Linked DNA regions of Caenorhabditis elegans. The protein of the gene in region 1 interacts with the protein of each later gene in a biochemical or structural test. Each region holds a gene or a part of one and is shown on either strand. Other genes may lie near its edges. The genes, in order: gck-3 and wnk-1.

Evidence for each region.
Region 2: of the proteins of gck-3 (region 1) and wnk-1, one has a biochemical effect on the other in vitro, tested with the Caenorhabditis elegans proteins (one study listed by BioGRID).

What each region holds. Positions count from the first base shown.
Region 1 is NC_003283.11:17,963,541-17,968,399, reverse strand, and holds the start of gck-3 (Germinal center kinase 3), read left to right. Parts: upstream 1-1,636; coding exon 1,637-1,823; intron 1,824-3,081; coding exon 3,082-3,266; intron 3,267-4,662; coding exon 4,663-4,859. UniProt on the Caenorhabditis elegans protein: Plays a role in osmotic stress responses by regulating ion homeostasis and by controlling cell volume via the phosphorylation-mediated inhibition of the chloride channel clh-3.
Region 2 is NC_003282.8:9,198,290-9,203,362, forward strand, and holds the start of wnk-1 (Serine/threonine-protein kinase WNK), read left to right. Parts: upstream 1-1,816; 5' UTR 1,817-2,141; coding exon 2,142-2,150; intron 2,151-3,956; coding exon 3,957-4,035; intron 4,036-4,339; coding exon 4,340-4,409; intron 4,410-5,003; coding exon 5,004-5,073. UniProt on the Caenorhabditis elegans protein: Serine/threonine-protein kinase component of the WNK3-SPAK/OSR1 kinase cascade, which plays an important role in the regulation of electrolyte homeostasis and regulatory volume increase in response to hyperosmotic stress.

The DNA.
Region 1 (4,859 bases):
ATTTCGCTGGAAATTACTGGTAGAAATTCCCCCTAAAAATGAAGAAAATCGATCGAAAGTCTTCAAAATGAAGTATTTTTACAAAAAAAAAAAACAGCGAAAAGCTGGATTTTTTTTGGTAAATAAACTATTTAGAAAATCCAGTTTTCGGACTAAAAAGACTCTTGTAAAAATACGATTTTCCCCAATTTGAAGGTTTTTTTGAAATGAAATTCTAGAGAGAAATTGGCTGAAAATGAACTTTTAGCGCGCAAAAATTTCAATTGAAACTTAAGATATCCGTAATTTTTACTATTTGGAGCAAAAATCCAGAAAAACACCGTCGTGTAATTATTAAAATCTCAAAAATAATTTTTAAGCTATAAAATCTCAATTTCCCGAGCTAAAAGCAACACGTTTTTTAGCTCAAAAATTGGATGATTTCAAGCCTGAAAAATCTTTAAATATTGTTCGGCCTTAAACCAAAATGTTCAACGGAGCTGAAAATTTTGTTTAGCGAAAAAAACATTTACGTATATATAACTTGGAAATTTCTTTGGAAATTGAATTTTTAAGCTCAAAAATCCAGATTTTTGAGTCATATTTGAGTGAAAACTTCCTTTTTTTTTCCTCTTCAACTGACACTGCAACTTTTTCCTCACGAGGGACGAGGAAAAGTGGTTTCTAGGCCATGGCCGAGGGGCCGACAAGTTTCAGCGGCCATTTATCTTGCTTTGTTTTCCGCCTGTTTTCTTTCGTTTTTCATCGATTTTTTCGTTTTTTCTTAATAAAACTGATAAATAAATATTTTTGCAGATGCTAAAACAATTTCCAAGTAAAAAAATTATGTATTCAGTGGGCAAGCAGCGGTGAAAGTGGTCAATGTAAAATGATGGATTACGGGAATACAAAACCTAAACTTTTTCTGAAACATGATACATATGCTGCTTAAATGCTGAGACTACCTGATTTTCATAACGAGTCTGCTGAAAAAGTTTTGAGGTTTCCAAAATTCAACTTTTTTGGTGAAAAAGTCGAGATTTTCGCACAAAAAGTTGAATTTTGAAAACCTCAAAACTTTTTCAGCGGTCTCGTTATGAAAATCAGGTAATTTCAGCATCTAAGCATCATATGTATCATGTTTCAGAAAAAGTTTAGGTTTTGTATTCCCGTAATCCATCATATTACATTGCCCTCTTTCACCGCTGCTTGCCCACTGAATACATAATTTTTTCACTTGGAAATTGTTTTAGCATCTGCAAAAATATTTATTTATCAGTTTTATTAAGAAAAAACGAAAAAAATCGATGAAAAACGAAAGAAAACAGGCGGAAAACAAAGCAAGATAAATGGCCGACTTGTCGGCCCCTCGGCCATGGCCTAGAAACCACTTTTCCTCGTCCCTCGTGAGGAAAAAGTTGCAGTGAACTATCGGACCCAAAATTAGACTGTGATTACAAAAAGTTAGTTTCCAGCCGTTTTTTTTTTTTTTTTTCAAATCTACTATATCCTTAATGATATTACTGATTAATGATATCAATTAATTTATTAATATTGTATTAAAAAATTTCAGAGTCTCATACGTGTGTTGTCCTGTGTACATCATCATCATCATCAACAATATAAATTAATATATAATAAATCAAAAATATAAAAAATGAGCTCTTCGAATCTGGCAGGAAACACGAATACTACAACTACATCATCAGCAGCTTCTGCAGCAGCTGCTCATTCAGCTGCAAATGCTTCAACAATAACATCAGAATACTCGACAACACAGACAACAACTGGAACATTTAACACTGATACATTATCGAGCATCGGATCAACGTCGACACTTCATGGTGCTTTTTTGGATTTTTTTTGCGGTCGAAAAATGTGAAAAATGGCAATTTCTAGCTTGAAATCTAATAATTTTTCCGAAGAAAAAGTAGAAATTTCAATAAAAATTGGGGTTTCCCGATTATTTTTGCAGGTCCAGTAAAATTTAATTTTTATTTAAATTTAAAAAATCGAAAATAATTTTTTTAAGTTAAAAATGAATTTTTAAAGTAAAAATTACATCTTTCTCCTTCTAAAGTTGGTATTTTGTGAGGAAAATAATTAATTTTTACAATAAAATTGAAATTTTCCGGTACAAAATGTATTTTTTGCTTTGAAAAATTGGTTTTTTGGGTATAAATAAATTTTTTTTGTAGGAAATTGAATTTTTCAACGGAATTGAAGTTTTGTAGTGAAAAATCAATTTTTCTCCTTAAAAAATTACATTTTTGAGAAAAAAAAACGAATTTTTACGATCAAATTTAATTTTTCTAATAAAAAATTCGATTTTTTTTTGCTCTAAAATGTACAATTTCTTCATGGAAATATAATTTTTTGGCGGAAAAATTCGATTTTCACTCTAAAAATTTAATTTAGCTGAAAAATTTGATTTTTCACATAAAAAAAACCAATTTTCACTTGGAAAACCCTAATATTTTCAATTAAAATCAATTAAATTTATAAAATCTACATTTCCGATTTTTGTGAAAAAAAAACAAATTTTTTTAATCGGAAAAATTGATTTTTCAAGAAGAAAAAAAGAGTTTTTCCTGTGAAAAGTCGAATTTTTCAACGAAATCTGTTTAAAAATGTCATTTTTGAGTACAAAATTCAATTTTTACTCTAAAATTTTCAATTTTTGTCGAGGAAATATGATTTTTTAGGCAGATAAACTCTATTTCTTCATTTGAAATTTATTTTTACTCCAAAAATGTTTTAATTTAGTTTAAAAATTCGATTTTTATACATTTTTTTTTGTTTAAAAAAAAAACGTTTTTCCCGGTAAAAATTACCTTTTTAAATGTGTAAAAAGTCGAATTTTTCAACGAAATTTAATTTTTGAGCTGAAAAAAAATCGAATTTTCTGCTTAAAAATTACATTTTTAAGTACATACAACATTGAATGTTCCATGTAAAAATTTTCAATTTTTACCTTAAAAACCAAAATGGTTTTTTGAAAAAACCAAAAAAAAAATTACAAAAAAGGTGAGAAAATTCAAAAATCGCGCAATTTTTAGGCCCAAAAAATGAATTTCACCCCTAATTTTTTTGTTGTTGCAGGATCACAACCATCCCAACCACCACCACCACCACCACCTCAAGTATCATCACCGATTGCGGCAGCTGCAGCAGCATCAGCTGCACTTGTTGCACAGCTTAATCCGGCCGATCGATGGCCAACAGAACCGTCGGCTTATAAGTTGGATGAGTCGATTGGAGTTGGAGCAACTGCTACCGTTTTTACTGTATGCTGCTTCTTTTTTGACTGAAAATTACAATTTCTATGTCAAAAAAAGCCGAATTTTTAGACAAAAATTCGGGTAAAAAAACGCAAAAAAAAATCCACTTTTTGTACTGAAAATCTCCGGAAAAGTGGCGAAATGGCGAAAATTACAATTTCTAACCGTCAAAAAAAATTTTTTTTTCTAAAAAAATTAAAATTTCCCGCCAAAAAATTTGAATTTCCCGCCGAAAAATTTTTTTTTCTCAGAAAATTTGAATCTCCCGCCGAAAATTTTTTTTTTCTCAGAAAATTTAAATTTCTCGCCAAAAATTTTTTTTTCTCAGAAAATTTAAATTTCCCGCCAAAAAAATTTTTTTTTCTCAGAAAATTTAAATTTCCCGTCAAAAAATTTTTTTTTCTCTCAAAAAATTTGAATTTCCCGCCAAAAAATTGTTTTTTCTCAGAAAATTTAAATTTCCCCCGAAAAAAAATTTTCGACGGGTCTCACCACGAAGTGAGCCGTGATTTTCCTCTCAAAAATGAGCAAAATAACGAAAAATCCATCAAAAATTGAATTTTTGCGTAAAAATTCCACATTTTTCAACTGGACACCTTCAGAAAAACGAATTTGAATCTGAAAAATTCAATTTTTCAGCCAAAATTTTAATTTGTCTTTGGAAAAACCCGGAAAAATCGCTAGAAAACCCCAAATTTCGGCGGGAAATTTAAATTTTTCCGAAAAATCTCGTTTTTTTCAAGAGAAAAGTGGTGAAAATGTTGATTTTCACCTAATTTTACTTTAAGGTGGTGAGTATCGAGACTTTTGTTTTATTAATGTTTTATTAAAATTGGTCCAAAACTACCGAATTTTGTAATGAGACGTTCTGAAAATTTCTCAAAAAAAAAGTTATGGCGGTTCGGCCGAATAAAGCTCATTTTTAGCTAAAATCAAAATTTTTTCCAACTTCTCAGTGCCACAATACCTGGAACCTAATTTTTATTTATTCATCACTTTTTAATAAATATTGTGGTTTTTGAGTGGGCGTTTATTCGTTGATTTAAGTACATATGTCAGTGGGGCACAAATAAAAGTTAAATTTTGTACCCCAAAGACCATAAATGTACCTAAATCAACGAATAAACGCCCACTCAAAAACCACAATATTTATTAAAAAGTGATAATTAAATAAGAATTAGGTTCCAGGCATTGTGACACTGAGAAGTTGGAAAAAATATTGATTTTAGCTGAATATGGGCTTTATTTTGCCAAACTTTGAACCGCCATAACTTTTTTTTGAGAAATTTTCAGAATGTCTCATTACAAAATTCGGAGATCTGGACCAAATTTGGGTCTAAAAAAGCAAAAGTCTCAAATTTCGGTCGGCTCTACCTTTAAAATTCCCACAATTTTTTTGCAGGCCTACTGCCTTCCACGAAACGAGAAAGTCGCCATCAAATGCATAAATCTGGAAAAGTGTCAAACATCGGTTGATGAGCTAAGTCATGAGATTCAGGCAATGTCCCAGTGTAATCATCCGAATGTTGTTAGCTATTATACATCATTTATTGCACAAGAAGAACTATGGGTTGTTATGCGTCTACTCAATTGTGGTTC
Region 2 (5,073 bases), on another chromosome or scaffold:
GGTCAAATCACGTGAAGACACTCGTCAGTCACAAGAAGAAAATGAAGAATAAGATGAAGAAGACGATGGTTATGATCTGATGATAAGGAAAGTGATTACAGTGGGGGTGTAGGAGTAGGGTAGGCCGAGGGGAAAAAGAAAAGGCGAGAAGAAAAGAAAGAAGAACAAGTAAGTATCATGACAACATTCAAACACTGCCTCATAGTCACACGAGAGTTCGTTTTTCCCTATTAAAAAAACATAATTGTGCTTGTGATTGTTGCAGCAAATGTATCATTCTCCAAAATCACATGATTTTCTCAGTTTTTAGTTAGAATGAATATTCTCCTGGTTCATATAGCTAAAACAGAAATCTCTGCAATTGTTACTGCTAGTTTATACTTTTCATAGTCTTCTCGAAATTTTGTTTCTTTTTGATTGCATTGTATCTGATTGAAAGGTTTTTGAAATTCTTGACATATTTGCAGGTTGAGGTGAATCTTGGTTTTTTCGTTCGGCACGTTTTAAATAGTCATTTTTCAGATATCACAGATAAGCTGAAACTCAAGTGACAAACCTCATTCAGATACAGTAATTCATGTTGACCACACAAATCTGAATATTCACATCTTATTTGTTTCACCAAGATGGTTGTTTGGGGTGTCTGTAAATACTTGAAGTTATGCAACTTTTATCGCATTTTCATGCTTTTTCTAATAGGTTTTAACCTATTTTCAAATGACATTGCCACATTTTAAACTTCGATCCAATCACTTTTCCCTGTCGTCTCCTACACTTTTATCTTCATGTCTTCACAAATTATTGCCAATCAAAACTCGGGTTTTGATGAGTCAAAAGAAACATGTGGGCTAATGGACTGCCACTGTTTGCAGCCACTTGTCTCAAATTGGCTGTAAAGCTTCAGAACCTTCAATTTTCGAATCGTGATGATGTCATCCAAGTTCCATTTTTGGAATGCATTCTAGTTTTTAATGCACCCTTGAAGTGCTAAACTTCAGTCTTTTTCCAGGCTGCGTAATATTATTGAGAAACAAATTTAACCAATATTCCGAGTTCAATTTTTCCGATTTTTCCCGTCTGCACAAACCATTTTGCAAACCTTATCAGTTAGTAATCTACATTTTTCACAAATTTCTCTTACAACTATTCTTCTCGAATTTGTTTCTATGATGTGCCAAAACCTGGAAGTATATTAATATTTCCCATGAATACATAATAGAACATGTCATTTTTATAATCTCTCTCTCTCTGTTACGTCTTGCAAAGTGTGTAGTGTTCCTGCAGAAAAGACATTTATAGATTGATATTGATATCAAGAAATATCATAAAGATAGTATAACATGACAGACGGCTAGATAGACACACATGGACACTGGTCAAGGCCGGTGTGTGCCATTCATCAAGGGTGCATGCTGCCTTTTTTCACCAGTTCATTGTTAAATCCTAGAATTTGAAAGTGCGCTTGTTGCTTAGGTGTTTCAATTTCGCAATTGTGTTTTGATCGATCTATCGTTATTCAGAGTTGCTACACGTTTAGTACGCTACTTTTTATCACTCCCTCGATGATTTAAGCCCTTGCGGGACCATTATCTAATCTACGTGCCTATATGTTTTCTTCAAAGATTGATAGATTTTAGTTAAAATCCTAACTCTTTTTCGGTATTTAATACTTCTAATATATAATTTCATAATTACTTGCTCACCAGCACATTCTAGAAGCTTATTATGAAATCATTATTTTCTTTAATTTTTCAATTATTTCTTCTCAACGCTATTGTTCTCAAAATCTGTTTGCAACCTTTTAAAATAATTTTACCAGTTTTCAGACCGACAACGCACGGGCTCTTCGCTTGATATCCGGACATAGAAATATGCAGATATCATCCAATTTTTAGTTGACACCTATATTTAAAAAGTCTTTGTCAAGCAACAGTATCGATCGCATTCATCAATAACTACAGTAAATATCTATATATCAAAAAAGTCTCCCAAGAAGAAGAAGCAGCGAACTGTTTTCGTTTTGTCAAATCGAGTTCTTGTTTTTGTGGCTGATTTAAATTATACCGGAAAAATTCGATTGGAAAAGAAGGATAATTTGTAAAGAGGAAAATCGGCGGAAATCGTGAAGCGAGGACTACAAAATGCCTGATGTGAGTGTTTTTTTTTAATCTTCAAAATTTATAGTTTTTAATTGAATACAAATTGTATATTTTCATTAATACAAAAAATAGAAAATCAAAATGGGCCCAAAAATTCTACAATCTTCATCAAATTTGTGTTGTCAAACTAATTTTCACTAGGAAACAAAACCATGAATTGTACTTTGAATCTGTGGGCGTTTAAGCGATGAGAAGACTGGTACATTGGTTGATCCTCTTTTAAATCTACTAACAATGAATATTCTCTGTAGTTGAAAGCAGTTATGTCTGCATTTGGGTGGTCAGTCAACCGATTCTTTTTGGGTGCATACATTTGTAGGTTTAGAACTGTGTTTTGATGTTTTTAAATTTTCTAATTAAATAATTTAGCTAAATTATTACTCATAGGAAATTTCATTCGATTCTAATTGTCACTATATTCCTAGTTCCTGTATAAATTGGCATATAATATCGTAAATTATCGGCGATTTTTATCGGTTTTGTCTTCCCGAAAAGAAATAAGGGTAATTCACATTCATCTATGGATTTAGTCGAATCGTTTCTTCATTATAAGGACAAAGTCCATTTGAAATTTAATTTAGTTTTTCCTATTTTTTCTTATATCTTTCTTCTTTCTATTTCCGAATTTTATATCCCTATCAAAGTCAGCAAAATTTTGGCAATTTTCTTTTTATCTCACCGCTAAAATCACTTTGTGAAAATTGATTTTTGTTGATCTTGACTAAAACGAAAATCGAAAACTACAAAATAAGATAACAAAAAATCGTAGAAAGCACGAGTGAGAAATGGGACAAAAGATTACGATTTTTAAACTCGAAATAACTATAAAATCTGCTAAAAATTATTATGTTATTAATTTTGAAAGATGACAGTCATATGTAACAGATGTCGTAATATTTCTTGTAGAATGGTGAGCTGTTTAAATTATATTTCACTCCAATTAAGGACCCTGAAATTTAATTTGCTGAATAATTTATTCTTCAAAATTTAAGAAATTCATAACCTTTTTTCTAAACGAGCGAGATAAATTTGAAAAAATTTCCTATCCCAGTTTACGTATAACCGCTATTTTACTTAAAAATTCATCTGATTTTGCATTTTTAAATAGCCTTTAACAGTATTTGCAATGTTTTTATTACTGTGGGTGGTTGTTTTGTTGTTTTTGTTCCCGCCCTTTCGTCTTTCTCGTCTCATTCGAATTTTGGTGTCTTTTGATCAAAGTGATACTGAATGGAGAAGCACGTGGTAAACAGACGCAGACGACGGTATTAGACACGACGTCTTCTACCTTTTGAAGGCAAACGATGTGTCTATCGTTTGACTTGTTTCAGTCGTGTTGCTTCTACACTTCTCGTAGTAATTTTGAAACAAGAAGTGTCATCACACCTACCATTTTACCGCTAAATTGTAATTTTTTATTGAAATGATTATTGAATTTTCAATCTTAACGTATAAACATTTTTAGACGTTTTTAGTTTTATTGAGTATAGAAGCTTTCAAAATTTCTTTATGGAAATTTATATTTATTTTCCATTCGCCCGAAAACTTTTGTAGATTCGAAAAGTTTATGTATGTAGTAGTTTGAACTCTGTAATTCGAATTTACCAAACATGAAACGTTGGTTTATCTCGAATATCACACAACCCTCTAAGATATCACGTGATTACTGTTCCTTTTTTTTCAATCAAAAAATAGTATAGATGTATTGATTCAAAGTTATCATGTTTAAAAAACTGTATTATGTATTTTCCAACAAAAAAATTGCGTTTCCTGACAGTAACCAATGTTTTTTTGCAGTCTATAACAAACGGTGGACGACCACCAGCACCTCCAAGCTCTGTGAGCTCAACAACAGCATCGACAACTGGTAATTTTGGTTAGTTTTAGTCGAATTAATTATAAAAAAGAAGAAAATCGTCTTATTTGGTGAAGTGAAGTATTCATTCATCGATAAAATTTAAAAACCCTGGAATGTTCAAGTGTTATTGGACACATGAATACGTCAAGAGGATTAAGTTGACGTCGAATTAAAAATTGACGTTTTTTGAAGTGATAGAGAGAAAAGTACGATTTTTTGAAAAATGTTGTAGTTAAAATTGGCAGAAGTGTGATAGAAAAAAGATTATGAATTTAAAAGTTTATTTAATTTTTTAAAAGTTAATTCAATTTTTAAATTTCAGGTACTCGACGTCGTTTAGTGAATCGTATCAAGAAAGTCGATGAACTACATCCAGCACAAGAGAATCCCACGTTAGTTTTTGATCTCTTTTGAAAGTTTCTGATGGTCGTGGAAAATTTGAAACTCTTGTTAAAACTTTATTCTTGATAGTGCAAACGTATGCATAATTTTGTAAAAAAAAAGATTTTGGCCGAATCATTATACAAAACTAACCTGAATATATTTCTATTCTCACCCATTCATAACAATTTTAACTGGTCATGTGAGCATTATCGGTAACTTTTTTCATCTTTTTTAGGACGAAAAGAGACGAATGGACAGTCTAACTGTATCTATCTCTCTCTCAATATCATAGATTTATGATGAGGAGGAAATTTCAGTTTATGATTTGATTTGAAATTCAAATTTTATTTTTTCCCTCTCCCTTCCCCATTGACATTTTCTACTATCCACCTCTGCCAACCACGCATTCCTATTAAAACCGCCAACTGCTTCTAGAAATTTTGACTGAAAAACAGTCTACATTGCCGTTTTTGCAAATTTTAAATGGAATTTCCGATTTCCAATGATTTATTATTAGCTAGCAGACAATTACAGACTAGAAATGAACGAAAAAGGTGAAAAATGATTTTCTGGCTTTCTTTTTAAACTGTAGACTATTTCAGAATGGGATCACACTGGTTGTCCGAGCAAGAAAGATCACGACTTGAAGCTGTTCAACAGGATTGGCGAAGA